Oreochromis niloticus: one gene and its partners. The protein of the gene in region 1 purifies or fractionates together with the protein of each later gene. This does not show direct contact. Links are inferred from orthologs where the notes say so. Each region holds a gene or a part of one and is shown on either strand. Other genes may lie near its edges.

Region 1 (7,834 bases):
TAACCATGGCAACAACCCGTAACCATGGCAACTACCATGGCAACAACCATGGCAACAACCCGTAACCATGGCAACAACCCGTAACCATGGCAACCACAACCCAGCAATTCTGCTGTTGATATGTGACATCACAGCAGGAAGGTGATGCGAGTCTGGCATTGACATTTGACATCACAGCAGAGAGGTGATTCTGCTGTTGATATGTGACATCACAGCAGGAAGGTGATGCGAGTTTGGCATTGACATTTGACATCAGAGCAGAGAGGCAATTCTGCTGTTGATATGTGACATCACAGCAGGAAGGTGATGCGAGTCTGGCATTGACATTTGACATCACAGCAGACAGGCGATTCTGCTGTTGATATGTGACATCACAGCAGGAAGGTGATGCGAGTCTGGCATTGACATTTGACATCAGAGCAGAGAGGCGATTCTGGTGTTGATATTTGACATCACAGCAGGTAGGTGAAGCGAGTCTGGCATTGACATTTGACATCAGAGCAGAGAGGCAATTCTGCTGTTGATATTTGACATCACAGCAGGTAGGTGATGCAAGTCTGGCATTGATATTTGACATCACAGCAGGTAGGTGATGCAAGTCTGGCATTGATATTTGACATCACATTGCATGCATTGTGGTTGTTGGCAACCACAATGCCAACAACACACAACCATGGCAACAACCCGTAACCATGGCAACAACCCGTAACCATGGCAACCACAACCCGTAACCATGGCAACAACCCGTAACCATGGCAACTACCATGGCAACAAACCGTAACCATGGCAACAACCCGTAACCATGGCAACCACAACCCAGCAAATCTGCTGTTGATATGTGACATCACAGCAGGAAGGTGATGCGAGTCTGGCATTGACATTTGACATCAGAGCAGAGAGGCAATTCTGCTGTTGATATGTGACATCACAGCAGGAAGGTGATGCGAGTCTGGCATTGACATTTGACATCAGAGCAGAGAGGCAATTCTGCTGTTGATATGTGACATCACAGCAGGAAAGTGATGCGAGTCTGGCATTGACATTTGACATCACAGCAGAGAGGCAATTCTGCTGTTGATATGTGACATCACAGCAGGAAGGTGATGCGAGTCTGGCATTGACATTTGACATCACAGCAGAGAGGCGAGTCTGGCATTGATATTTGACATCACAGCAGGTAGGTGATGCAAGTCTGGCATTGATATTTGACATCACAGCAGGTAGGTGATGCAAGTCTGGCATTGATATTTGACATCACAGCAGAGAGGCGAGTCTGGCATTGACATTTGACATCACAGCAGAGAGGCGAGTCCGGCATTGACATTTGACATCAGAGCAGAGAGGCGATTCTGGTGTTGATATTTGACATCACAGCAGGTAGGTGAAGCGAGTCTGGCATTGACATTTGACATCAGAGCAGAGAGGCAATTCTGCTGTTGATATTTGACATCACAGCAGGTAGGTGATGCAAGTCTGGCATTGATATTTGACATCACAGCAGGTAGGTGATGCAAGTCTGGCATTGATATTTGACATCACATTGCATGCATTGTGGTTGTTGGCAACCACAATGCCAACAACACACAACCATGGCAACAACCCGTAACCATGGCAACAACCCGTAACCATGGCAACTACCATGGCAACAACCCGTAACCATGGCAACAACCATGGTAACAACCCGTAACCATGGCAACCACAATGCCAACAACGCACAACCATAGCAACAACCCGTAACCATGGCAACAACCATGGCAACAACCCGTGACCATGGCAACAACCCGTAACCATGGCAACCACAACCCAGCAATTCTGCTGTTGATATGTGACATCACAGCAGGAAGGTGATGCGAGTCTGGCATTGACATTTGACATCACAGCAGAGAGGCAATTCTGCTGTTGATATGTGACATCACAGCAGGAAGGTGATGCGAGTCTGGCATTGACATTTGACATCACAGCAGAGAGGCGATTCTGCTGTTGATATGTGACATCACAGCAGGAAGGTGATGCGAGTCTGGCATTGACATTTGACATCAGAGCAGAGAGGCAATTCTGCTGTTGATATGTGACATCACAGCAGGAAGGTGATGCGAGTCTGGCATTGACATTTGACATCACAGCAGAGAGGCGAGTCTGGCATTGATATTTGACATCACAGCAGAGAGGCGAGTCTGGCATTGATATTTGACATCACAGCAGGTAGGTGATGCAAGTCTGGCATTGATATTTGACATCACATTGCATGCATTGTGGTTGTTGGCAACCACAATGCCAACAACACACAACCATGGCAACAACCCGTAACCATGGCAACCACAACCCGTAACCATGGCAACAACCCGTAACCATGGCAACAGCCCGTAACCATGGCAACTACCATGGCAACAACCCGTAACCATGGCAACAACCATGGCAACAACCCGTAACCATGGCAACAACCAAGGTAACAACCCTTAACCATGGCAATAACCATGGCAACAACCCGTAACCATGGCAACCACAACCCGTAACCATGGCAACCACAACGCTGACAATGCGTAACCATGGCAACAACCCGTAACCATGGCAACAACAATGGCAACAACCCGTAACCATGGCAACAACCCGTAACCATGGCAACCACAATGCCAACAACCCGTAACCATGGCAACAACCCGTAACTATGGCAACAACCATGGCAACCACAACGCGTAACCATGGCAACAGCCATGGCAACAACCCGTAACCATGGCAGCCAGAATTGCCTCTCTGCTGTGATGTCAAATATCAATGCCAGACTCGCCTCTCTATACTGTGATGTCAAATATCAGTGCCAGACTCGCCTCTCTATAATGTGATGTCAAATGGCAATGCCAGATCCGCCTCCCTGCTGCGATGTCAAATATCAACACCAGAATCGCCTCTCTGCTCTGATGTCAAATATCAATGCCAGACTCGCATCGCCTTCCTGCTGTGATGTCAGATATCAACACCAGAATCGCCTCTCTGCTGTGATGTCAAATATCAATGCCAGACTCGCATCACCTTCCTGCTGTGATGTCAAATATCAGTGCCAGAATCGCCTCTCTGCTCTGATGTCAAATATCAATGCCAGACTCGCCTCACCTCCCTGCTGTGATGTCAAATATCAACACCAGAATCGCCTCTCTGCTGTGATGTCAAATATCAATGCCAGACTCGCATCACCTTCCTGCTGTGATGTCAAATATCAATGCCAGACTCGAATCTCCTATTTGCTGTGATGTCAAATATAAATACCAGACTTGCCCATGTTCGAGCGTACACATGGACAATCAGCATATGACAGCAGCTATCAGCCACTTACAGTGCAGTCATGTTAAAACATGTAACACAGGGTCGCTAGTTTAGTGCGACCACATTAATATTATTAATTATTAATATGTAAATATTAGCAAGTTCAGTCTGTTCAGGAAGCAAGTATATACATACATATATATATACGTACATATATACATATCTATATATATCTATATATATATAGATATATATACTTGTCTGTCATACCGACCTATAAACAAAATATGGTACACATGTACATAAATACATTGTTATTAAAATTTTTATATACACTACCAGTTAAAAGTTTGGACACACCTTCTCATTTATTTTCATGACTATTTACATTGTAGATTCTTATTGAAGGCATCAAAACTATGAATGAACACATATGGAATTATGTAGTAAACAACAAAAGTGTGAAATAACTCAAAACATGTTTTATATTTTAGATTCTTTAAAATAGCCACCCTTTGCTTTGATTACTTTGTCTAATGTCCATTCCTTGTGCTTCTTGGTCCAAACAAATCTGCTTGTTGCGTTTCCTTAGTAGTGGTTTCTTAGCAGCTATTTGACTATAAAGTCCTGATTCACACTCCCCTTTGAACAGTTGATGTAGAGATGTGTCAGCTGCTGGAACTCTGTTGTTGTTGTTCTGCTGTTAACTTGTGTTTTCTGAGGCTGATGACTCTTGGGCTTCCTTTCCTGAAACAGTCCTCATGTGAGCCAGTTTCGTCGTAGCGCTTGATGGTTTTTGCGATCGCACTTGGGGACATACTCAGAGGTTTAGCAATTTTCTGGACTGACTGACCTTCAGTTCTGAAAGTAACGATGGACTGTCATTTCTCATTCAGTAGCTGCTGTTCCTCTCTGGAACCACGTTGGAAGACAACAGCCAGATCGGATGATAGGGCCTTGCTTTCTCCCATTTATCCTGGGCAGCAGATTGATGCAAGCACCATGATGCTGATGATGAAGGCTGCTCATTATTCCCTTTAACATCTGTTGTGGCCAGAATATCCTGCAGTTTCTGTACCTCACTTACTGAAATAAATAACCTAAACATCCCTTTAATACTTTTTGCTTGTTTAGCCTGGATAATGATGGTGTTCAGTATTCTAGTCTGACAGTAAAAGTATATTTATAACACAATAGTCAATCACTCACGCAATAGATTTATCCACTAATCATAATAGCATGATTTAAAACATTTAGATGGAAAATGTTTTAAAAACAGAGACTATTATTTTCAACAAAGACCAGAATACAGGAGGGACATGCACTATAAGCTCAACCCAGTTTGAAGGTCCATTTTTCAAAAGTGAGTAATTAAGAGGCTCTGAATGCACTCAACAGACCAGCTTTTCTGACTTGACTTGACCCTTCTGGACTACACAGCCGGGTGTATGAAGTACCAGAACCTCCAAGCAATTGGCAGTTTCTGGCATGTCGTGGCAGGCCGTGGTACGTTACACTAACGAGTCCATGGTTTGCGGTATTTGTTAGCAATTGCAGCGTTACAGCCACTAGGTGGCACCAGAAACCTGCCGTAGTCGTCTAGAATTGCGACAGCTGTTTTACGGCATGCCGCAAAACAAACAAACAAGAAACGTGGATACTACTTTCTGATCATTACTTAATATTTTTTATTGCTTTTAATATTATAAGAACGTATGGTAATTAGTGGGTAGGTGACCAGTGTCCGGTCATCATGTTCGTGCTGGTGGAAATGGTCGACACGGTGCGGATTCCGCCGTGGAATTTTCACCGGCAACTCAACGAGGCTGTGGCGGAGGAACTGAACAAGAAGCTGGCCAACAAGGTGATGGAGACCGTTCTAGCACACTTAGGATCAATTTTCACCACACAAAACACACTAACAGTTCAGCAGCTAAAATACTGAACATATATTGTCCTTTTAGCAGAAGTTTGTGTGTTAAATTGTGTAGTGCTGTGCTTACAATAGGTGGTCTATAACGTGGGACTCTGCATCTGCTTGTACGACATCACAAAACTCGAGGACTCCTATATATTCCCAGGAGACGGAGCCTCACACACCAAAGGTATGACGATCACCATCAAATAGCTGAGACAGCTTTGGTGTAGTTGAGTTAAAGTTAATACTGCTTGTAATACCTCAGACATTAAAGCAAAACCCTTTTTCTACTGTTAATGCACAAACAAGGCAGATGGTGAGTGGTGACTCCTCCTCCTTATGCTGGGCATACACTGTGCAATTTTTGGCCCATTTTGAGCCGATTTTTTAGTTGTGCGACCGTTTTGGGGATCGGCCCGAGTTTCGCCTTAATCGTGTGTCACGCATCGTGTAGTATACATGGGGTAACGAGAAGCGATTAACACCTCACGACCAGCTCCCGATCATCAATTGTTTGGTCGTAAGAAAATCAAACCTGTTTGAAATCCTGTCGGCCGTCATGAGGGTGTCAACGCAGCCTCCCACACTGCACGCACAAACACAAATGAAAGTGAAAAGACAGAGCAGCACGGCAGTGCAGCGTGTGATCTGGACACAAGCGATGGAGGCACAACATGTAGAACTTTGGCAAGCTCATCTGAGCCTTTTCGATGTGGCCTCACAAAATTGTCACGACCACAACAACCGTGAAAATACAGGGAGTGCAGAATTATTAGGCAAGTTGTATTTTTGAGGAATAATTTTATTATTGAACAACAACCATGTTCTCAATGAACCCAAAAAACTCATTAATATCAAAGCTGAATGTTTTTGGAAGTAGTTTTAGCTATTTTAGGGGGATATCTGTGTGTGCAGGTGACTATTACTGTGCATAATTATTAGGCAACTTAACAAAAAACAAATATATACCCATTTCAATTATTTATTTTTACCAGTGAAACCAATATAACATCTCCACATTCACAAATATACATTTCTGACATTCAAAAACAAAACAAAAACAAATCAGCGACCAATATAGCCACCTTTCTTTGCAAGGACACTCAAAAGCCTGCCATCCATGGATTCTCTCAGTGTTTTGATCTGTTCACCATCAACATTGCGTGCAGCAGCAACCACAGCCTCCCAGACACTGTTCAGAGAGGTGTACTGTTTTCCCCCCTGTTACAACCTCCTCTGCTAGGCATCAGGGGAGGAGTAACATACACACGCCCCCAACACAAAACTGAGTAAAGAAAGGTTTTCATTCCAAACTGTAAACAGAAAACTGACAGGGCTGTTCAACAGACCACTGGGCAAACAATTATTATATAAAGACAAAAAAAGACAAGAGTAAAAGCTAAAGGTTAACTAAGGCAAGCTGGCAACACACAAAATAAAAGCTAAGGGTTAACTAAGGTGAGCCAGCATCACAAAATTCTACTCACAGCCAGCTAGCAGCTCAAAGCTCTACTCTGGCTAAGTTCAAGCATGCACCAAGGTTTGACAAAGTTCAGCAATATGAACAAGTTCAACAAAGATTGAAGAGGGAGGCACGAAGGGCAAACTGCATGTTCAGTCCTAAACAGCAGCCACTGAGTGAAGGACCTCCAGCCTTTTGTAGCCACAGGTGGGTACGATCAGTCACTGATTGCCTCTTGGAGCATCACGGGATCCCCGGGCAGCCAATCATCCGTGTGGTCTGGCACACTTCATTCTGCATAAAAGAGGGTTGGCACGGGTCTCCCAGTAACCAATCACCCACAAGTCATGGCACACATGGATTTGCATGAACACAAAAAGGCAGTCTCACTCCCTCCAAGGCCCAGGGCCATAACACCTCCTTGTAAATCTCACATTTGATGATGGACCACAGGTTCTCAATGGGGTTCAGATCAGGTGAACAAGGAGGCCATGTCATTAGTTTTTCTTCTTTTATACCCTTTCTTGCCAGCCACGCTGTGGAGTACTTGGACGCGTGTGATGGAGCATTGTCCTGCATGAAAATCATGTTTTTCTTGAAGGATGCAGACTTCTTCCTGTACCACTGCTTGAAGAAGGTGTCTTCCAGAAACTGGCAGTAGGACTGGGAGTTGAGCTTGACTCCATCCTCAACTCGAAAAGGCCCCACAAGCTCATCTTTGATGATACCAGCCCAAACCAGTACTCCACCTCCACCTTGCTGGCATCTGAGTCAGACTGGAGCTCTCTGCCCTTTACCAATCCAGCCACGGGCCCATCCATCTGGCCCATCAAGACTCACTCTCATTTCATCAGTCCATAAAACCTTAGAAAAATCAGTCTTGAGATATTTCTTGGCCCAGTCTTGACGTTTCAGCTTGTGTGTCTTGTTCAGTGGTGGTCGTCTTTCAGCCTTTCTTACCTTGGCCATGTCTCTGAGTATTGCACACCTTGTGCTTTTGGGCACTCCAGTGATGTTGCAGCTCTGAAATATGGCCAAACTGGTGGCAAGTGGCATCTTGGCAGCTGCACGCTTGACTTTTGTCAGTTCATGGGCAGTTATTTTGCGCCTTGGTTTTTCCACACGCTTCTTGCGACCCTGTTGACTATTTTGAATGAAACGCTTGATTGTTCGATGATCACGCTTCAGAAGCGTTG
Region 2 (7,248 bases), on another chromosome or scaffold:
TCTCTTCAGTGTGTCCACAGTGCTCCTGTTTATCCCAGCTTGCTTGCAGTTTTCATCAGTCTATTGTTACTGCAACAGTCTCCTCCACAGCTACAGTATATTTACTGATCTCTTGCAGTATTTTCAACACCAAAGCAGCATTTTGCATATTTCTCTTATTAGCCCTGGCACAGTGAGCACGTGGCAAATATGTGTTCAAAAATAACTCCCCCCGTTGTGGTCCCTGTGATCCTACAAATTGCCTGGTTTAGAGTCATTGTCTGATTGCCGGGTCTGCAAAGGTGCGCCCCACCCGTCAGTGTGATGGACAGGCTGCGGTAGCTCATTAAAGCCTGTGAACTGTGAAATTTGTGCGATGGCTCGTGCACACGGGCAACCGGGGCAGGGAGCCGCACCGTGCACGTGCAGGTCCACGCGTCTGTTTTCCAGCTGCTGTTCTCTTTTCTTGCCATAGTGTGCCTTTTTTTTCAGAGATAGAAACTGGGGCAACAGAAGATTCTCTCAGGACAAGTCATCAAAGCTCCCCGTGCGTCTACATATGCTCCACTTTTGGATGGCAGAGATGTGAACACAGTTCAAATTCAGGTTGCCATACCATTCACACAATTACATTTCTCTCACTTAGAAAAAAAAGCCGATTATCTCCACCACATTACCAGCTTTAACAGACAGCTGCTCCAAATAAGGCAATTTGGTCTAACTAATAATTATTATGAGTACACATCATAACTCATAATTCATCTAGAAGTGCATAATTAGGCTACAGTTCACATCTCTGGCTGAAGTACATAACACACACACAGATGTTGTGCTGTAATCATGCATATGGAGCAGGGCATAGAAAGCAGCTCTGTGGTTCAAAGCCACATTTCTTCTTCTTCTTCTTTGAGGAGAATACTTTAAAAGACATTTACATAGCTAGGCGAGAGGGGAGGGAAAAGGCGCAATCTTCTCGCTTTAGTTCTTAAACTGGGATGCTGAAAAGGCAGTCACCGGGTATGAAAATGGAAATATTATCTCTTCCTTAAAGTAGTTTGAAGCGATGCACAGTTGGCACTGACATTTAGGAGAATGACGCCCAATCTCTTTACACGAATCAGTCAGGGCTGCCGTGTGAAATGTCCTCGCAGTCACACGCAAAATGTCATTGGTGGGATTTAATAAATACCCAAAGTTGGCAGGGGGGGGAAGAGAATAAGAGAATAACAAGAGAATAACAATCTGCAAATAAAACTCCAGCATCTGCTGCATTCATCTGACTTCATGTCAAATATATTTGGAGAAAACACACACACACTCACTCACACCCAGGATAAGATCATTTGATGTCAACAACTTGTAAATAGACTCGTTTAATAAATTGATTCATTTTCTGGGACTCAGAATAATGTAACGTGAAGAATAATGTAAAAAAAAAAATTCCTTACTTGTATGAGGCTCAAATTTGAGATGGTAGAAGGTCGTCTTATTTCGCTTTCTACTTGCCTGCTATCGTGCAGCCGATGATAGATCCCCCAGGAAAACTGATTAGGAGGTGAAACGAACACACAGCCTCCTCTCTTCCTCTTTCTCCGTCTGTTTCTCTCTCTCTGTGTCACACAAACACTCTAACCCCCCCACCTCCCACTCCCTGCCTCCCTCTCTCCCCCCCTCCCAATCTCATTTTTCGCTCTGAGCGCTGCACGATGATAACTTGACTCCTCTGCACCCATAAAGGATAAATTAAAAGCTGAAATACAGAAAGAAGGGATAAAAAAAAAAGAAGATTTTTCCAGTTGCAGTGTGACCGCAGCGAGACACTCAGTGTACCTCGGCAGCATCGGAGCTTTCGCCAGCCAACCGTGCACAGCACATCACATCACTCGCTTGTAAATCTGCCCCGAAGCACAAAATCCAAATATACTCTAATCTGAACACTGAACTGCCGACATAAATGTCACCTCTCAGATATGGAGAAAGTCTGGGCTCTGGGAGTCTGAAGGTAGAAAGAATAACTGCTTTTTGCGCACTCAACTTGCCACACATTATTCTAAACAAATTACACTGTGAGTGGTGGCCCATAAAATTACACAGAGTCCTGTCAAGACCTCAAAAAACATACATGTGCCAACTGTCATGCCATATGGACCAACTCCACAGGGCATCTCCCTCTAGCCTATCCGGAGGCGGGGGATGCCACTATCTAAGTCCTGAGTAATCAGATTTCCACTTGCATTCATTTTCTGTGTGATGGGTTTTTTTTTTTTTGAGCCTGTTCGACCTCACTGGACAACTTAATTTAGGATTGCATCAGAGATTAAAGAGACCCTCCCCAGATTAACGCGTATAATCTGCTACTAAAACAATAGACATGAGTGTAGGCTAAAGAGAGATAACAAAGGGATGAATTTATAGTGCTAGTGAAATCCTTTCACTGTGTTTTATTTAAAAAAAAATGACAAAGATATAGTGCCTTAATTCCACACACTGTGTGGCGTATTGAAAAGCTTCATTTATTTCCAGACAGCCACTGATAAGTGATACCCCTAGAGTATAATTAAACTGCAATCATCCATCATTAGTCATGCCATGACAGCCTCTGTCCAAATAACCTTCCCTGCTTCAGAAATGGGAATAACCAGTTTTTTAGGAGAGCGGTAGGTGTGCGTGTAGAGAAAGCAGAATTTGGCCCCATGTTATGGTGTTCAGAATGTCTCTTATATTTCAATTATGCTTACAAATTGGCATATTTGAGTTGTGTTTTTAAAACAAATATTGTAAATTTATTCTAGTCTCATTCAAGTATTTGCCGAGAGGTCCTTCCCTTATCAAAGGGACCAGGCACTGTTCGACCGGGGGTACCAAAAATCTGTGGCACCCCTAGGAGGAATATACTATTACTACATTTACATAAGCGGATGCTCCCAGAATAATGTATTACACACATGTTCAGTCCACATACTGGGAGAATCTGTGTCCACCAAATTATGAACAAACTCCATAAAAAGTTTTATTAGCAACTTGGCATTTTCTCTGAATAGATGGATTATTCTCAGCACATAATAATACTAAGTGCAATTCTCTTTTTTCTGTCAACATAGTATTTTATTCTATTGCATATAGTATCTTATTCTTATTATCTTATCCTATTCCAGTGTTTTTCTTAATTTTTGCTACTGTAACTTTGCACTGTCGACTTTCTGCTGTGACACAACAAATTGCCCATGTGTGGGGCTAATAAAGCTTATCTTATCTTGTCTTATCTTATCTTATCTTATCTTATCTTATCTTACCTTATCTTACTTCTTCAGCCCTTCACTTGTCCAGTTTGCTCAATTTTTTTAAGGACACCATGTTAAGATATGCCAGATATGACCTTATACTTCTTTGGGAACCACTTTGCTGACTCCCAGTAATAGTATTTTATGTTTGTCAAACTGTGTTGCGTTTGGCATATTTTGTAGATTCAACAAAAGAAACAGGAACTAGTAACAAAGTACCTAAAGACACAATTTAAAATTTCATGCCAAATGAAACACGATTATTTGCTAACTGGTCTGTTATGTGTATACACAACAGTGGTTCAAGTGTTGTGGCTACAAATAACAGACAAACCGAAATGAAAATGAACCAGAAAGCAGCAGATCTCCAAAGAAAAGCTTTGAATCACCTTCAGAAAGCCCAGGGAACTGTTGCTCAAGACTACTTAAAAATTAGCAGAAAGTCTGACTTCTTGGAAACAAAATATAAAGAAATGAGGGGTGTGTCAAGACTTTTGCATGGACCAAATACCAAATTTTCAATTTGGTATAATTAGTTTGTCCTTTCCTGCTTCGTATTTCTCTCATCCTTCTCTGCATCTTCTATATTATACATTCTATATTATGTATTTACACAATTACAGGTCAGGAGAACCTTTTCACACCCTGCTGCCTAAAATGAAGTTCAATTAACTAGAACAGTATTATATTATGAGATTATTAAGGGATCCTAATAAATTTCAAAGTGTAATATAGTGATTAAGCTGTGTTTGACCTACTCACATCTGCGCATTGAAGCGAACAACGGCCTCTTCCGTTTACTTATGATTATGAGCATCGGTGAGTAGCTACTGCTGTGTTGCATAACAAAGCATATTTATATGTCGGTAAAATAACATTTTTCACATACATACATAAGTCGATCTAAATGTATTAATGTATGCCGGTCTATTGAGTTTCGTGGTGAACATGCGCATGTTTCTGCGCAGGTTTGATCCAAGTGAACTGAGTGGACGGTGACAAATGCGGAAGTGTCATGGCGCCGTGCTGCAGAATCATCAACACTGTCATGCAGTGTCCCACACAGCACTGGTAGAAACTGTAATGACTCTGGGGTTTTGGATTAATATTTCATAAGGACGTCAGAGGGACAATAACGTAAGTAGGCGAGAAAGCACAGCCTGTTAAAAGTTCATCCTGAGAGTTAAAACAAAGTGTCCTGTGTCGTTGTATTTCACTGGAATGTGGCCACGTGTTGCTGAGGTTGTCTTGTAAAATCATTTCTAAAAATAAAAATGTGTCTGCAGGATCTCTGTTTATAGTGATACAATAACTTGTCAGTAATTTATGTCACAGTGTTATAAGCGCTACTTTAGTAAAAACAAAAAAGTAGAAGCTCAGATTTACATTTTTGTCTGTGTTCAGATTAAAAGATAATGTATATTACAACGAAATTAATAAGTAAATACTACATGAATCAATCATGTCAACAGTATGTTCTGCGGTCTTATAGAGCAGGATGTGGTAGTAGAGTAAGAAATACTTAATATGTGTCTATATTCACCCTTTAAAATCTGAAGTCATATTTAAACATATAATACTATATAATATAAACATTTAATACTTTTTAACATTAAGTTTTTAATTAAAAAAATTTAAGAAAATTCTATTTCAGCTTTCATGCTGCATTGGGCCAATGGGGCAAGCTGTACCATTAAATAAAATCAGTAGCTAGTTTAATTCAAATACAGCAAAACTGTGGAGATTCTCACATGTCCTGTCCTTTAATCATAACAGAGAGAATAATTTAGTTAAATATATCTATATGTATCATTTTCAAGACCTATTCTACTTACCATTTCCAGTCTTCGTGGAAGTAGAGTTTAAAATGTGCTAAGAGGCATAAGTACCAATGTAAAAATGTTCATACATAAATAATCAATAGGCAGTAGCAGTAAGTAGCCTTGCAAGGCCAATTTGGCCATGTCTACATACTGTGATTGGTAGTCTGATACAGGACTGTAACCCTTGGCAATCGGCATGCTGACTGTTGAAATGTGTGTTATGTATAAATATGAGAATGTTATAAGAAACAATGTTAGTATTTGTAATATCCATCCCTTGGTCGATCCCCTGCTTTTGCCCCAATTCAGGATGTCGGACGCAGGTTCAGGCGACCCCAGTGGTCGTGTGCCGACTCCTGGAGGGAGCGGTAGCAAAGGACTCCTGATGAGCCGTCGCCCGTCAGCTGGCATCTCTCCTGGCCGCCTCCCCACGATGCGATCCAGAGACCTCACATTAGGAGGAGTGAAGAAGGTCTGATATGTCTCTGTTTCACTAACTCACTCGCTTCATTTAACAACAACAACAACAAAAAAAGCGCAAATGGAAACTTTAAATGAATACATTTGTTATCTCATCTCTTGCATTTATCGTTCTTCTTTTTACTCTTTAGAAAACATTTACACCCAACATTATTGGCCGAAAAGTTAAAGAAGAGTAAGTTCCCAAAGCGCTAAATAAATAAAGTACAGACATCCAAAGCCAGCTGTTTCTTTGACTGTTATTTTCTCACACTAGAACAAAAGTTGAAGATGGGCAGAGGAGAGAGAGGAAGGAAACGGATCGAGGTCGGGGTCCCAGAATGAGAGGCAGGGGCCGAGGCCATCAAGAACTCATCCAGTCGCACTCCATTTTTGAACAGGGACCCGGAGAGATGATGATGAAAAAGAGAGGTGGGAGACCCGGTGCTCCTTACGCATCGTTTACGTGTGTGTCTTACAGAGTCTCTATCGAACGAGCATAATTCTGTGTCACCCACACACACAGGCGGCTATGAAAGCGAGAGAGACGCTCCAAGCATGGGACCCTCGCCCATCATTAATATCAAAAAGGAAAAGCGAGAGACCGAGGAGGAGACCAAAGAGATCCTGCGCAAGCTGGAACGAGACAACGTGAGTCTCTTGGCTTTAACTCATCTTTGTTTGCGTAACTAAGTACGTACAATTTCATTTATATAGCACCTTTAGAATAAGACCTAAGGGACTTGCTGGGGTCATATAGCTGTAAAATGTTCACTGATGTAACCTGGTTCTAGTCCATGATGAGCTCTAAACGTCAGAACGACAATCTTGAAATGGGCTTTGAGTTGAGTGGGGAGCCGGTGCAGCTGGATCAACAACGGTTTAAATGTATTTAGAAGATTTAGTCAGAATCCTTTCTGCAGGTTTTTGAACAACCTGCAGATGTTCCATGGAGTTTTTGCTTAGACAAGTAAAGATTATATCTTTTTCCCAATGCTTATTGTGTTCTTTTAGTTTGTGGATGATCCCTTCCTGCGGAGTGAGAAGAGGAGCTGCCCTGTCCAGCTCCCCCTGGCTGTGTCAGGATGGGGATTCAAGGATGAATTTAGTGACGCTCCTATTAAAAATGAGAAGAAAGAGGAGGATTGTGAACCAATGGAGCCTGCAGCTGAAGGTAAATGTTTGTACCTGCGTTTGACTCAGAACTTGTTTAATTTCCTTTGCAGGATCATGAAATTAATCGTAAGTTTGTCTTCAGTGAAACAAGAGCCAGAGGAAATTGAAATAAAGAAGCCTGAGGCAACTTTCAGGCCGCCTCCTCTCCCCGAGCCCGAAGTACTCCCTGACCTGCTGCACAGATGGAGTCTGAGCAAAGCGGAGGAGCTTTTCTTCATTCAGCTACCAGACTCGCTGCCCGGCCAGCCTCCCACAAAAGAGCACAAGCCGGTGAAAACAGAGGTGCAGTCAGAGGATGGGCAGTCTGTGCTCCTGAAAACAGAATCAGAGGTAAGCATACAGCTGGGGTCCAAGTTTAAGTCCATGATGTTGTCGTGTTCTTCTGAGTAGGTGGTGTTTTTATACCAAACAGGAGGAGAAAGCTGAGGACAACAGCTGCAATCTGAAGGATCTACGGGAGGGTGTTGTGGGAAAGATGCTGGTACGCAAGTCTGGCCGAGTGCAGCTCATACTGGGGCAGGTGACGCTCG
Region 3 (6,994 bases), on another chromosome or scaffold:
TCTTTTTTTCCCCGTTTCCGTGTTTATTGTGGACTCTGGAAGCCGTTGCCCTCTTGGGGACTCAGAACTCGAACCATTTTTACTAAGATCTGTTGTACGCTGAACGACAGCATTTGTTACTGTAAATTAATTTTTATAAGTTAACAAATAAACCTCCTGTATTTGTTTTTGGGTTTTTTTTGTTACATTACTGAATTTGTTATAAATGCAGCTGTGTTGATATTTGATGATCATAATATTAGATAACGTGCAGATCTTTTAACTGTCACAGATAACATTGAATGTTATAACCTTGGCGGAGTTTCCCGTGTTGGCAGGCTTCGTGTTCTGCATGTATGCCATCCTCGGAGGTGAACTGAAAACGAGAAATGTGGAAATCTCGTGTTGAAATAATATAACATTAAATAAATGTTTTATCAATTAAAAATCGTCTTCTTTTCTTATGTATCCAAATTAACATGTTCTATACATATTTTTATGTGTACATTTTTATGGTGAAATTCTTTAGTAATGCATTGAACTTAAAAATAAAATCTGATATTTCTGTTAGAAGGTTAAATCATCCTACTTTTCTTAACTTTTCAAACTAAAAGCCCCCCAAATTAAACCCTTTCCATGCATTGAGAGAGGTTTCCATCAGATTAGAAAATGACTTTAAGTTCTCTATCCTTTGAACAGGTGTTGGATCATATTCCATCCACCTCTGTTCTGCCCCTTTTTCTCTCTCTTGCAACAAATCCCATTTGAGTTCCCCCCTGGAGAAGCAAATCCACTTATAAGCTGCTGCAATCTGTGCTGCAAAAGACTCAAAAAGCAGGTAGAACAGAGACTTTTTATTGTCTATGTTTCGATAGCAAAGCTGTAGATTAGTCAATAGTACAAAGCACAATTACAAACATAGGAGGTAGTCGACACTGAGTCTTCACTGAGCATTGTAATATGCATAGAGAACACTATGGCCATAATGACTTTGTTTCAAATGTCTCAGAGGAAAACCCAAAGCGCCCTGTTCTGTTTGTAGTGCAGAGTTATGCTATTGTTGTGCTATTGTAACTTCACATATGCTTAAAGTATAAAAATCAAACACTGAATTATATTAACACCAACATATACATATTCATCAGCATATAAGACCAGTAAATATTTTTTATAATAGGCTTCATATGGTGCTGATTATTGACTTCTGTAACCCAGTAGGGGCATTTCACACAAAGTTTGGCAATTACTTGATTTTCAGCTGGATTACATAAGTAAATGGACAGCGTTACATTAAGTTGCAGATAAAACAGAGGTAACCCCGCCCCCACCCTTTCTGTCCTCACACTCTTCCATGTCCTCCATACTAAAACATCTCTCTTTGTGCACTTGCTTCCTGCAGCTCAATGACCCACTCTCATTAGCAGGCACACTGTGGGTTGCACACCCGCAGCGCCACCCCAGCCAGACTCCTCCAGGCAAACGTGGAGAACTTTGCAGGGCATGTTTCAGCTCTGCTGATGTACGTGGAGGCAAGCCGATGGAGCCGCTTCGCACCGAATGCATTGTAGTGCCCCGGGAGGACTTGGTCGACCTGTTAAATCCATTTTAAAGCCAATAAACATGTATTTTATTTAACAAATAATGTTTAGCACATGTTAAAGTATATTGTTTTAAGTATTAGCACAGAAAACACAGCTTGTATATGTAGGCTAATAGATACTGGTATGCCAAATTTCAGCAGAGCAACATGATATTTTCATTATAAATCTATGAAATGTTGATATAAGGTGCTTTGGGATAAATACCCCTGGAAAAAAAAAGTGGAACTGTGTACTGAAATTGTGAGGCTGCTCTCTAGTGGGCTTTAGAGTTACCTGTTCGCTGTCCACCAGCCCAACCAGGCGCTCACAGCTGCTGATGTAGTCACTGACGCGGCTGTAGGGCAGCCAGTCAATCATTGCGCCGTCATACACAACATCGCCACTGAAAAGCAACTTATTGTCCCGGTCATGAAGGCAAATGCTTCCCCGAGAGTGTCCGGGCATGTGAAGCACAGTCAGCTGTCTGTCACCAAGATTGATGACATCACCTAGGCAGGAGAAAGAGAGAGAGAGTGAAGGCATTAGGTTTTGATAATTATTCACACATACAAACGTGGCATGAACCGTAATCACCGGCCACTATGTATTTAAAATCTTAGACTTATATATAAGTGATAACTCATATTCTGGCTGACTCACGTCAGAGTTATGTTTGTGCTTTCCACATGTCACTGAGTCACACAGATTCTGTGACATTCAGTATATCATCGATTTGGTCGACGCCAGTTATGAGTTGCACTGGCAAAAAGGGTGAAGTTGATACATCAGGGAATGAGATATACCAGCTGCACTGCAGTAGTGGCTCTGACACAGCAGAACGAGTTACTCTACAACACTGCATTTTGCATTAAACCCCAACAGATACGGCGGCTCAGCAAATACATTATTTATGATATAAGCTTTGTGTATTATTATGTGTGCTATTCTGATGAATGTGTGCTTTATATAAAGACTCCAGTGACCAGTGCTTTCAAACAACGTATCCACTTTCAGATTTATCAAGTAGATTGATTCAGCTCGCCACCTGCTGATCTTTGACCCACTATAAAAAATTGTTTGAGAAAAGAGAAGACTGTGTGGTTGTTACTTCGCGCTGTGGGATGCTTTCATTAAGTGTGACACCAGTCTCTGTATGCTCTTTCTTGGAAGCAAGAGAATACATCAAAGCCATCACACTGGCTTAAAATAGAACAGCTCTGCAGATATAGAGAATGAGCATATAGTTGCTACCAATGGAGTTTTTGTTGTTGTTTTTTTAACCCATACACTTCTAATAGGGGGAAATTGTCTGTACCTGCATTCCTTGGATAGAATATCCTGTTTTGTGTAATGGGATAATTGCACCTGTGTAATCACCAGTCCTGGCCTCATGTTGCTGCATTGAACTGGTTCCTCTAGCCTACTTTGTAACTGTAAAAATTACTGGCAGACCGACCCCTTGTCTCATCCCCACTACCTCCATTACATATATAATATGTGTCGATGTGTGAGCTAGCAAGTCATTGTTGGTCTTCTGCCAAATCGCGGTGCAGAATCTGAGGCTGGAAACGACTCTGTAGAGCATACTGTGCTCACACTAGGCCTGGTGCATCCATCAAGCCCATTACTGTATCGATTATGGTGCTTGTCACTAAGTGAATGCTTTTAGACCTTGCTGGTATTTGAGCACAGATCCATCCCTCTAGCCTAAATCAAATCTGCAAGGGCTGTATTTCCTACCTACCCTCCTGCAGTATGTGTGTGGGCTGCACAGCCTTGACTTTGTAGTGCCTTGCCCTCCATCCCGGGCTGGGAGCCTCGGCTATCTCCCTGTCGCTGAGCCAAGTGACCGTCTCGAAGTTGTCTCCGTTGGCCAGGGCATCGACCTCCGCGCTGTGGACGCCCACCTGTTGGAACTGATGCAGACCACCGGAGTGGTCGAAGTGGGCGTGGGTGGCGATGGCAAGCAGCGGGTTTTTCCTCTGCGGGTCTTTTCCCAGCAGGCCTTTGGCGTCGATGTATTCAGGTAAGCTCCTTAAGCCCAGACCCGTGTCTATCACCACGTCCTGGTGTGTGCCGCGCAGCAACCAGATGTTGGCTCGGTTCTCCGACTGGTAGAATCGCTCCTGGATCCAGAAGATTCCGTCTCCGAGCGATTTGTGAGCGTACCAGTCGACTGCAGACATCCCAGTTCATTCGCTTGTCGAAGTAGGGTTCAGTATGGTGTCTTGCTGTCAGGTGATTTATTGGGGGGGAGAGGTGTAACTAGCCTTCTAGCTACAGATGATATGTTTTCATTGAGGTTAATGCGATGGTGGCCGCAGACACACCCTTGTAGGAGGACACTAAGCTCACTGGGCAAACCGATAAACGACGGCAGCTTAACGTGGGTTGCAATTGGCTATACGCAAACCACGCCTCCTCTGTCGTCACGCAGAGGAGGAGCGAGTTAAAGCCACATTTACGCATGCTGACAGTGGCGTATGGCGTGTGCAGGTTTCCAAAGCCGGTGCTAGCTAAGCAGTATAAAGTCTAAGCAGTATCTTCATTAGGTTCAGCTGAAATGTATGTGATTTTTAAGGAGTTGTCGAGGGACAGATAAAACCGGCCAGAGAGGTACATTAAAAAACTGAAACATGTGGATCCAGTAAGAGCTAAATATCGCTGTCCAGCTCTGAAGTAGACTTTGTGCTTTTTTACATTAGGCGCAGTATACTAACAGGCTTCTAGTAAGTATTTCGACATACTTTACACGTAGAGTGCGTCTCTGATGCTGACTAAAGCTTCATCGCTGGCAGAGTCACGCTAAAGGCGATGGAAGCTGTAGAACGTTAACTTTCATCAACACGTGTTGACTGGAGATATGTGGACGTGTGTGTGTGTGTGTGTGTGTGTGTGTGTGTGCAGGAACAGAGGAGACCTGCAGCCATGGCAGGCAAGGGTCGTGGAGTTGGTGCTTTTACCTTCAATATTGACGCTCTGGGCATCGGCAGGGGCAACATGCCAGAAGCCAGGGTGGGGCCCAGTCCTCTGTTTCCAGTAAGTACCGAACACAGTCGTTTACACACACACACACACACACACACACACACACACACACACACACACACACACACACACACACACACACACACACACACACACACACACCAGCAGGATGACAGATTGCATTTCAGTATAACAAATTCACCTCTAATGGTCAAACTTTACTGGAGCGACTTTGGGAGAGACCTTTTTGAGAGAGGTAGGTGAAATTTGCATGGAATTTGAATAGCAGACTATATACAGTGGAGGTTTACTTATAATAGGTTAAGGTTTATTCTTTGTAATAAAATTTACGAAACATTTTACTGCATTTGTATTTAAATGAAGGGAGATGAAAGTATATTTATCGTGCTCATGGCCAACATGTGTTTAAGAGTTATGACCCAATGAGTGTCTCTCACAGGGTTCACAAATAAGCACAAAGGGGGTAAAGGGCAATAATGTATGCGCTTATGTTAAATTCATGGCCAGGTTTTCTAATTTGGTCGTGTGTATTCCCAAAGAATATGGCAGATATTTACGTGCCTCTTGGATTCTGCCAGGATGCTTTATGGGGATTTTTTTTTTCTTTTAAACACAGTTTGGACTATGCTTACAATGTAGTATATTTTGACTATTCATACTTAAAATGTTGAACACCTTTACATGGCAGTCTGAATTTCAGTTAGATTTGAAATTTATTTGCACTTGAACATTATTAATATCGGCATTACATCATCCATACTTCTCCAGAGCACGGATTTTAAACCAGTTCCACTGAAAGCTGGCGAGGATGAGGACTATATGCTGGCCTTAAAACAAGAGATGAGGGGAACAATGCAACGGCTGCCATACAACATCAAACCTCAGTCCAATAAAGCAGGTGAGGAAGGCGGTGCATTAGAAACCTGACATCAGCTGAAATGACGCTGTAAGACAGTTGTCTGCTGTGGGGGAAGATAATGCAGCTTTTAGGAACAAAGACTTTCAGTTAAGGTCATATCTGGGAAACGGAGAGAGGCAGATTAATGACAGAATATTGAGTTACAGATGTCTCATCTTGCGAAACCACAGATTTCTTTTGTCTGGATTACTGGCCTTTCAAAACTCTCCTGTTCCACAGTTAGCTAAATGTAACCATGTAAAGAAGTCAGTGTATTTTATAGGGGGAAGGGGGGATTGCTTATTCAGCAGGGGGTCTGTGGTGAACATGACTATAGGGAAATTACCTATGAAAAGGAAGTGCACCCAGTTCTTCTGTGCAGAAGCAAATATACACACATCATGACCGATAAACAGAGAAGCAGCTGCTGCTTCATATCTACAGCCTCTTCAGCAAGACTCTCATCCCATGGTTGAGCACCACCTCCGCTGTCTTAGATAGCTGTTAGACATTGTACTCCATCCAAAACCTGCAGTAAAAAGAGAGCTGGTTCATGGGCTGTAGAGCAGAACAAATACTAAATGTCTTTTAGCTTGATGAGGCCAAGGCCTATTAACTTCTCATCAGTGATCATCATTGATTACAACTAGTCTGTCTTTGACAGGAAAAAAAGAAGGATTTGTTTGACAGGGCTCATTGGATTGACGCACAATGGGAGAGTTGAAGGAACTCTGTGAAGATCCAAGAAGGAGAATTGATAATTTACATAATTTGGGAAAGTCTATTTGAGCTATTTTAAACAATATCACATTCCAAGTTTTCAATTTTCTGGAAGAAGATCCGAACTGTTACCCTCGGATGAGAGAAAATTGGTTAGGATGTTCACGAACAACCGAAGAACAACCGGGTCTCAAGTCTACCGTGAAATCGAAACTACTCAAAGACCAGCCGCTGAAGCGAGTTTTAATTCTTTTGCCGACCACAAAAGAATACCCTGCTCCAAAATCAACAGCTTCAATTTCAACTGAAATTTGCAGCTAGATGGTTGAAACTTTGGACACAATTGGGTGTTCAAACAGGACAGTGTTCCCAAATACACATCAAAATTGGTTTTGGATTGGATAAAGCAGACTAACATTAAAATTCTGGCTTTTGCAAAACCACAGCCTCAATCTTATTGAAAATTTGTGGACTATGCTTAAAAGTCCGGTCCGTCTGGGTGGGCGGCATTTAGTGTTATCAGTCCTTTCATCCTTCAAGACCTGCCAAAATTAATCCAAGCTTCTGTAACAAATTCTTGTATTTTTTTGTTTTTTTTAAAGGCATTAAAGATGCATGCTGTACAGTCCTTCCACTCTATAAAAATATCATTTCAAAGAAATCATTAAAGCCCCAAATGACCATGACATTCATGCTACTGACTGTATGTAAACTTCTAGAGTAACACTGCAGTTTGTGTTGACGCATACTAGTCTAAATGTTTTTAAGAGTATGACCTTTCTTTTGTTTACTTGAAAACAGAAGTGGA
Region 4 (6,992 bases), on another chromosome or scaffold:
TACGGGTGTGCACTCGCTCCACATCGCTGACATGTCACACAGCGGGCAGCGTGGGTGGGCTGAAAGCACACGGCATCACTACAAATCCCACAATGCTTCACTTTACACTGCTTTAGGTGTCAGATGTGCATTCACCTTGGAGCCGCACCAGTCGCAGAATCTTGCGTCGCCCCAGTTTAAACGTTTACATCTGGTGCAGGACAACATCCTGGTGTGCGCTCCTGGGTCAGAGGGCACACTGCTCCTGGCTCCGCCCACCTGAAGCCATGAGGAGTAAAGAGAGCGTAAAGTGTCTGTGGGTGAGGCTGTACAGGTGTGGTCAGCAGCTGCTTACCTGCTGCAAGCAGCTCTCGCAGGTGAGACAGCTGAAGGCGTCAGCTGGATTCCCACTTCCACAGCAGACACACATCACATGACCCTGCATGCACAGGTAAACACCAGTGTGTGTGTGTGTGTGTGTGTGTGTGAGCATGTGTGTGTGTGTGTGTGTGTGTGTGTGTGAGCGTGTGTGTGTGTGTGTGTGTGTGAGCGTGTGTGTGTGTACCTGCAGAGTGATGCCCGCTCGTGGCTGCAGCTGTTGATCGATGGCAGCTTCACACACCAAACAGGTGTGTGTGTTGGCGGGAACTAGAGCTCCACAGAACACACACAGCAACATCTGACACGCACACACACACAGATTCATCGTCAGGTGTTCAGCGGGACGTGGCAATGCTCAGGTGAGTGCATGCAGTACCTGTCCTTCCTCAGCAGGTGGCAGCCTGTGACTGGGTAGCGGAGAAAGCGCCGCTCCACACTGAGCGCAGAACTGAGCGAACGGGTCAGAGGGGCGGCGATGCAGACAGCGAGCACACCTGAATGCACAGAAACTGTTGGTTCATCAGGTTTACAGTGTGAAGCCGAAAGTATGTGGACGCACCTGCACACCTGGGCAATGTCTTAATGAGTGGAAATCAAACTAAATGTATTTATTTTTAAAAAAGAACATGTTTTTCTCATTTTCCTTCTTCTTGGGACGTTCATCAGCTCTGTTTGATGAGCTGTCCACAAACTTTTGGCTCTGATGGAGGGCTGTACCGTGTGGTCGTACCGCAGGAAGTCGGTGTCTCGCTGCACTCTTGTCGTCTCCGTGCTCTTCAGCTGCCTCAGGTCACCTGACCCCCTAAAAACCGCAGGCTGGGAGCGGTGAGATGAGACGAGCTGGGCGCCGATCTCAGAGCCATGACGACCGTACAGAAAACGAGGGCCTGACTGAAGGGAGGGATTTCCCATCATCCTTGGCTCTGGACACAAGAAACAGGAAGTGTGAAGCTCTGTGATTGGTCAGATGAAGAGAAAGAGCAGGTTTACACCCCATCCCCCCAAGGTTAAGAGCGAGTTCTTCATTTCGACTGTCACCGAGTGCTGCCCACACAGTATCCTCTGATTGGTCAGTTTTCTCTGTAATGTTGTACATCTTTACCTGTCAGTACGGTAAGACTTGAGGTACCTGTTGTAATGTATTGTATTATGAATAAAGTTGAATTTAACTGAACACACCTGAGGTCTCAGCAGGAGAGGATGTTTCTTCTGGCGGAGGCTGGAAGGTAAAAGAAGCATTTCTGTGAATCATCAGGTCTGTGCAGGGGCAGCTGGGAAATGTTAACTGCAGCAGGCAGCTGCACGATTACCTGCAGGAAGTTGTCCAAAGGATCCACAGAGAAAACCTTCGTCACTATGGAGCTCTCTCTGCCGTCACTGCAGACAAACATAAACTTTATTGATCTACACTGTGAAAGCATCTGCTGCCGGTACACACTGATGTCAGGTGACCACTTACCTGGTGACAGCCACCGCTCGAATTGTCACCCGGCCTGCAGGCAGAAGGATGGGCTCGCTGTACTTCCTGCTGCTGCCTGCTGCTCCACGATGCCCCGCCCCCGGCTTTGAACCATCCAGAGTGTAAAAGATCAGAACACCTGCAGAGTCTGCACAGACACACCTGTCACATGACCTGCTGGATGGATGGATGGATGCTGGGTGGATGAGCAGACGGTTGGAGTTCTACCTGACTGGATGGACACAGGTGTGCTCGTCTTGATGTGGTTCTTGGCTCGATGAGTCTGCAGGTGGATGATGGGAATGATGAGTGGAGCTGACACTGCCCCCGCTGCCATGACAACAACCGTCTGCCAACCAATCAGTTAATCAATAAATCAGTTGTTCAGTTCCCTTTCAGACTCAGTAAGACGTCCTCGCCGGCTTTGTCCCAACATACATTCATACTTTTACTCAGTTACTTCTGCTGAGTAACCTCATACCTCATGTTATCTGTAAAATGGATGGAGCTGAATCTGTGTCACAGCACAGAGAACAAACCAAAGAACCGACAGCCTGCTGCAGAGAGCAGAGAACCTCATATCATAACAACAGGTGTGATAATGAACCCTCTGTACACAGAAGCTGGGCGACCAGCACGCGTTGGTCGCTCTAGCATCGGTCCACGAAACGAGGCAGGAGCCTGATGGATACGAACTCCCAGAGTGTCCGACAGGAGGGCGGGGATGTCGATGTGTATCTGGGCCGCATAGGTGATGGCTCATGTTCCTGTAGCTTTATGGTGGTTTGCAAACACCTCCGTCAGAAACCGTCTGCGTGGATGAGCTTTTTCCCGCTGCTTTCAGGCTCTGCAGTTCTCAGCAGGTCAGTGTGGCCACATCAATCAAACCGCTTTGGAGTGAATCCCCCACTGAACGGTCCTGATCCAGAACCTTTACTTGGAAGAACAAAGCCAGTGCTGACCCACTGCCAGACGCTGCAGCCTTTCCTGGAGGCTGGTCGCCATCCTCTGAGCTAAAACCAGCAGACGGTGCGGATGCTTGCCCGACTCTTTCTTTCTATGAAAATGTTGTTTGTTAAAATTATCTATCATTCATAAAAAGAGTGTGAAGTTCTAGCTCATCCACCACATGTAGTGTAGCTTTCTGGATGTTATCCTCATCGGGCTACATACTTATTTATCATACAGACTATACAACACTTAAAATTTAAATTCATATGCTTGAAGTAACTGAGATGTTTCATTATTTGATCTAAAGCCAATTAAACAGACTACGTTTATATTCACATGTATGCTTACTGCATTTGATGTATTTAACCTTATTTAACACATATTACAGAATGAAACACCTGTGTATAGAAACGGCCGTGACTTTGCCACCTCATCTGATTTCCATGCCACCCTACGAACATGTCTTTAGATCCGCCCCTGCTCCCAGTGACTGTCTGTCTTCTCATCTGTCGTCTCCAAACATCACAGTGGGTCTCACGGGCATCCACATCAGGCCTGACACTCGTCTCCACCCCGCGTGCCCCAGTGGGACATCTTAGGTTTCTGGGAGGGTTTCCCTGAAGGTTTACCAAAGCCTCTGATAGGTTCCCGTGTCTTTACCGTCTCTTTGTTAGTTTGACTGAAGCTGCTCTTATTTTCACTGTTTTTTTCTGAGCTTTTGAATGGGGCCGGTTCTGGTTCGATGAGCCGTATGGCCGGGACACGCCGGTAAATAAAACAAACAGAGACAGTGTTCTTACCTGGATGAAGGCGCAGGTGATCAACGGGACTGCTGCCGAGTTTACCGAAGTGTCACCATAGCAACGGGCTGTGTCCGCGGGGACGCTTGTTTTATACGCCTGAACGACAGAGATGGGCGGTGCTGCCATTGGGTTGTAGTACCCGCCCACCTCTGCGTGCTGCGCTGTTAGAAACATACCCTTTAAAGTTTACATTGAATTTAAAAACACAAAAAGAAGGAGTTGAGAAAAATGACCTTAAAATTTAAATTCATATATTTCTATATATGATATATTTTATAAATCACCGGGACAAGCTGCTGTACGTCATCGTCACAGGACCAGAGGCCGCTGACCAGTCAAAGAAATTTATTTTTTAAATGAAATTAACCAAAGAAAGAAAAAAAAAAATACTGTGAAACAGTGAGGCCGGGTATCTATGCTTAAACACAAACAAAAGGTCGAGATCTGACCGCGGTGTGTATTTTAATCAGGCGGATTTCAGGATGCTTCCGGTCGCTTGGGACACCGAAGGACCCCAGCGTGTGCTCGCAGTCAGTCACAACATTAGCTCACAGGCTAACAAAGTAAGAGCCCCGCGCAGGCAAGAAACGCTGGAGATGGCTGAGGTGAAGGTGAAGAAGGAGACGAACCTGTCGGACCCCGCGGAGGTCGAGAACAGGTGAGGGAGGAGCGGGGCCGGCGGGCCGCTCTGTCCGCGTATCGGACTCCGGCCGAATACTGTCACAATTATCGCCTGTACGGTTCTGCTCGCGCACACAGCGCCTGCGTGCAGGTCATGAACGCACGTTCACATCGCGCCGGACTGCTGGTCACTTCGGCGTTAATCAGTGTCATCAGCTGGCTTCGCTTGACCAACATCTGGACATGTTCTGGTCTTTAATGGCGCCTTCGGCCGAAGCTCCTCTGAGCTAAAGTTTATGCCTGCTGGTCTTCATGTGCAGCCTGAGCAGCTGAGACACAGCAGGAGCAGAAAACGATTAAAACTCCGAGTTTAAACAGAGAAACAGGTTTACTGTGAATTTTATCTGGTGTGTGTGTGTGTGTGTGTGTGTGTGTGTGTGTTTCAGGATCAAAGAGCTGTGTCAGCAGTTCCCTCACGGTATCACAGACCAGGTGATTCAGAACGACATGCCTCACCTGGAGCCACAGCAGAGAGCCATGGCCATCAACAAGCTGCTCTCACTGGTCAGTCTGATGATGTCACTCACCTCCAGAGGGTGAGGAGGATGGCGCTTTATTGTACTCTGTGCGCTGAGCAGGCAGCAGGTTGATGAGGTGGTGTTTGTTTCAGGGTCAGCTGGACCTGCTGAGGAACAGTGCAGGTCTCCTGTACAGACTGAAGGACTCTCAGAGCACCAGGTAAACACACACACAGGTGTAGGAGTGTACTTCCTGTCAGGTGATTGCTGGTGTCTCAGCTGCTTCCTGTCTGTTCTGTCTCAGTAAGATGAAGGGCTCAGACAACCAGGAGAAGCTGGTCTATCAGATCATCGAGGACGCAGGAAACAAAGGTAACTGAGTACTTCCTGTCCCCGTTTGGCTCGCTGCCGTGGCTCGCCGTTACGTCTGTCTCTCTCTGCAGGAATCTGGAGCCGAGACATCCGGTTCAAGAGCAACCTGCCTCTGACTGAGATCAACAAGATCCTGAAGAACCTGGAGAGCAAGAAGCTCATCAAAGCCGTGAAGTCTGTGGCTGTGAGTCTTTCACGATCAATAATCGGCTTCATCAGCCTTATCGCTGATCAATAATCAATAACATTAGCAGCTGAAAGAGTCAATGTTTATTTAAATATCTGCAGAAAAATCAGCTTAAAATGTGCAAAGATAAAAGAAACTGTTTAAATTCTGATTAAATATATTTTCCAGATGTTTACGACAAACATCTGTAAAATATGTAAATCAGCAAAAATATAGAAACTATAAAACAGTTTGGAAATAAACAAACACATGTAAGTAAATAAAAATTAAAGATGCGCCGTCTCCGTGTGTTTCGTGTAAACAAACACTGACGGTGATGATGTCATACTTCCTCTCCGCTGGCGTGTTTGTGCAGGCGTCGAAGAAGAAGGTGTACATGCTGTACAACCTGCAGCCCGACCGCTCGGTGACGGGCGGCGCCTGGTACAGCGACCAGGACTTTGAGTCCGAGTTCGTGGAGGTTCTCAACCAGCAGTGCTTCAAGTTCCTGCAGAGCAAGGTACAAAAAACTTTATTTAAACTGTTTCATTGTCCAAACGGTGCCCGGCAGGAGGAGGCAGAGCGGCACTCTGAGGCGCGAGTAGGGCGGGGCGGCCTTCTTTCATGTCTCAGAGCTGTGTGAACCGTCATATGACCCTCGCTGTGTTTCCTGTGTTGAGGCGGAGGCGGCGCGGGACAGCAAGCAGAGTCCGATGGTTCAGAGAAACAGCTCCTTCGCCACGTCGCACGAAGTCTGGAAGTACATCTGTGAGCTGGGCATCAGCAAGGTGACATCACAGCTCAGACGCACCAATCACAGCACAGCGTTCACCTGCAGACAGCTCCACACACACACATTAGAAGCAGCTGGGCTCAGGTGCTCAGACAGGTGAGCGTTACCTGAGGAGGCGGGAGCGTAGACTTTACACCTCATCCTGCGTGTAAACAGTCCCCGGGACTCAGGCTATGGACCCAGGTCCAGGTGTTTAAGGCGGGGTTTAGTTGATCTTTGGCCAATCTGCTTTCCTGGTCAGGTGAATGAAAGCGACCGTGAGACGAGGTGAAAGGGCAGGGTCGACAGCATGGACCTATTTATCTCTGCGTATGAATCTGGTGTGTGTGCTTCCCTCAGGTGGACCTGTCCATGGATGACATCGAGACCATCCTGAACACGCTCATCTACGACGGAAAGGTGGAGATGACCGTGATCGCCGCCAAGGAGGGCACGGTGGGCAGTGTGGACGGGCAGATGAAGCTGTACCGCGGCGTGAACGCCATCATCCAGCCCACCGGCCTCGTCAAGACGCCCTGCGGACTCTGCCCGGTAACGCGCCGTGCCCACCTGCACCCAGGGCCGCTCTCAGGGCACCCGAACTCATCCTGTCTCCTCTTTGCAGGTGTTCGACGACTGCCATGAGGGCGGGGAGATCTCGCCATCCACCTGCATCTACATGAGCGAGTGGTTGGACTTCTGAAGCCACGGCACGCGTTTCTCTCTGAAGGAAGCTTCACTTCCTGTTTGTCGCAGACGTGAAGAACCCGGCGGCCTCAGTTCCTGTGACGATGACGTGCAGCAGTTTGTCCCGGTTCTGGTTCTGGAGGCGTAACGTTTGTTTTCTGGGGCTGCTTTAATGTTTCTGTTTGACATCGTAAATCTTTGGGGTCGTCTTATTGGTCCCATCATGGTCACATGGTCTCAGATGTTTCTGTATAATCCCGCTCCCACCTGCACACCCTCTGTA

The links.
Region 2: the proteins of polr3h (region 1) and polr3d purify together in Homo sapiens (affinity purification with mass spectrometry; 6 studies listed by BioGRID and IntAct, counting the BioPlex papers as one, with this or other methods). This does not show direct contact. The link is inferred for Oreochromis niloticus from reciprocal best matches to the Homo sapiens genes POLR3H and POLR3D.
Region 3: the proteins of polr3h (region 1) and polr3g purify together in Homo sapiens (affinity purification with mass spectrometry; 5 studies listed by BioGRID and IntAct, with this or other methods). This does not show direct contact. The link is inferred for Oreochromis niloticus from reciprocal best matches to the Homo sapiens genes POLR3H and POLR3G.
Region 4: the proteins of polr3h (region 1) and polr3f purify together in Homo sapiens (affinity purification with mass spectrometry; 4 studies listed by BioGRID and IntAct, with this or other methods). This does not show direct contact. The link is inferred for Oreochromis niloticus from reciprocal best matches to the Homo sapiens genes POLR3H and POLR3F.

What each region holds. Positions count from the first base shown.
Region 1 is NC_031969.2:9,483,074-9,490,907, forward strand, and holds the start of polr3h (DNA-directed RNA polymerase III subunit RPC8), read left to right. Parts: upstream 1-4,823; 5' UTR 4,824-5,011; coding exon 5,012-5,122; intron 5,123-5,266; coding exon 5,267-5,363; intron 5,364-7,834.
Region 2 is NC_031977.2:13,079,017-13,086,264, forward strand, and holds the start of polr3d (DNA-directed RNA polymerase III subunit RPC4), read left to right. Parts: upstream 1-4,244; 5' UTR 4,245-4,397; intron 4,398-5,392; 5' UTR 5,393-5,393; coding exon 5,394-5,555; intron 5,556-5,694; coding exon 5,695-5,738; intron 5,739-5,819; coding exon 5,820-5,974; intron 5,975-6,068; coding exon 6,069-6,193; intron 6,194-6,556; coding exon 6,557-6,716; intron 6,717-6,800; coding exon 6,801-7,048; intron 7,049-7,130; coding exon 7,131-7,248. UniProt on the Homo sapiens protein: DNA-dependent RNA polymerase catalyzes the transcription of DNA into RNA using the four ribonucleoside triphosphates as substrates.
Region 3 is NC_031977.2:14,419,724-14,426,717, forward strand, and holds the start of polr3g (DNA-directed RNA polymerase III subunit RPC7), read left to right. Parts: upstream 1-3,987; 5' UTR 3,988-4,288; intron 4,289-4,466; 5' UTR 4,467-4,487; coding exon 4,488-4,598; intron 4,599-5,336; coding exon 5,337-5,466; intron 5,467-6,987; coding exon 6,988-6,994. Other genes in the region: acyl-coenzyme A thioesterase MBLAC2, read right to left, coding at 1,397-1,570, 1,854-2,068, 3,304-3,745. UniProt on the Homo sapiens protein: DNA-dependent RNA polymerase catalyzes the transcription of DNA into RNA using the four ribonucleoside triphosphates as substrates.
Region 4 is NC_031971.2:41,853,407-41,860,398, forward strand, and holds the start of polr3f (DNA-directed RNA polymerase III subunit RPC6), read left to right. Parts: upstream 1-3,983; 5' UTR 3,984-4,055; coding exon 4,056-4,231; intron 4,232-4,640; coding exon 4,641-4,758; intron 4,759-4,864; coding exon 4,865-4,932; intron 4,933-5,016; coding exon 5,017-5,084; intron 5,085-5,155; coding exon 5,156-5,268; intron 5,269-5,626; coding exon 5,627-5,770; intron 5,771-5,930; coding exon 5,931-6,038; intron 6,039-6,382; coding exon 6,383-6,574; intron 6,575-6,647; coding exon 6,648-6,725; 3' UTR 6,726-6,992. Other genes in the region: dzank1 (double zinc ribbon and ankyrin repeat-containing protein 1), read right to left, coding at 1-59, 136-258, 335-658, 737-854, 1,091-1,283, 1,540-1,579, 1,671-1,737, 1,820-1,967 and 2 more. UniProt on the Homo sapiens protein: DNA-dependent RNA polymerase catalyzes the transcription of DNA into RNA using the four ribonucleoside triphosphates as substrates.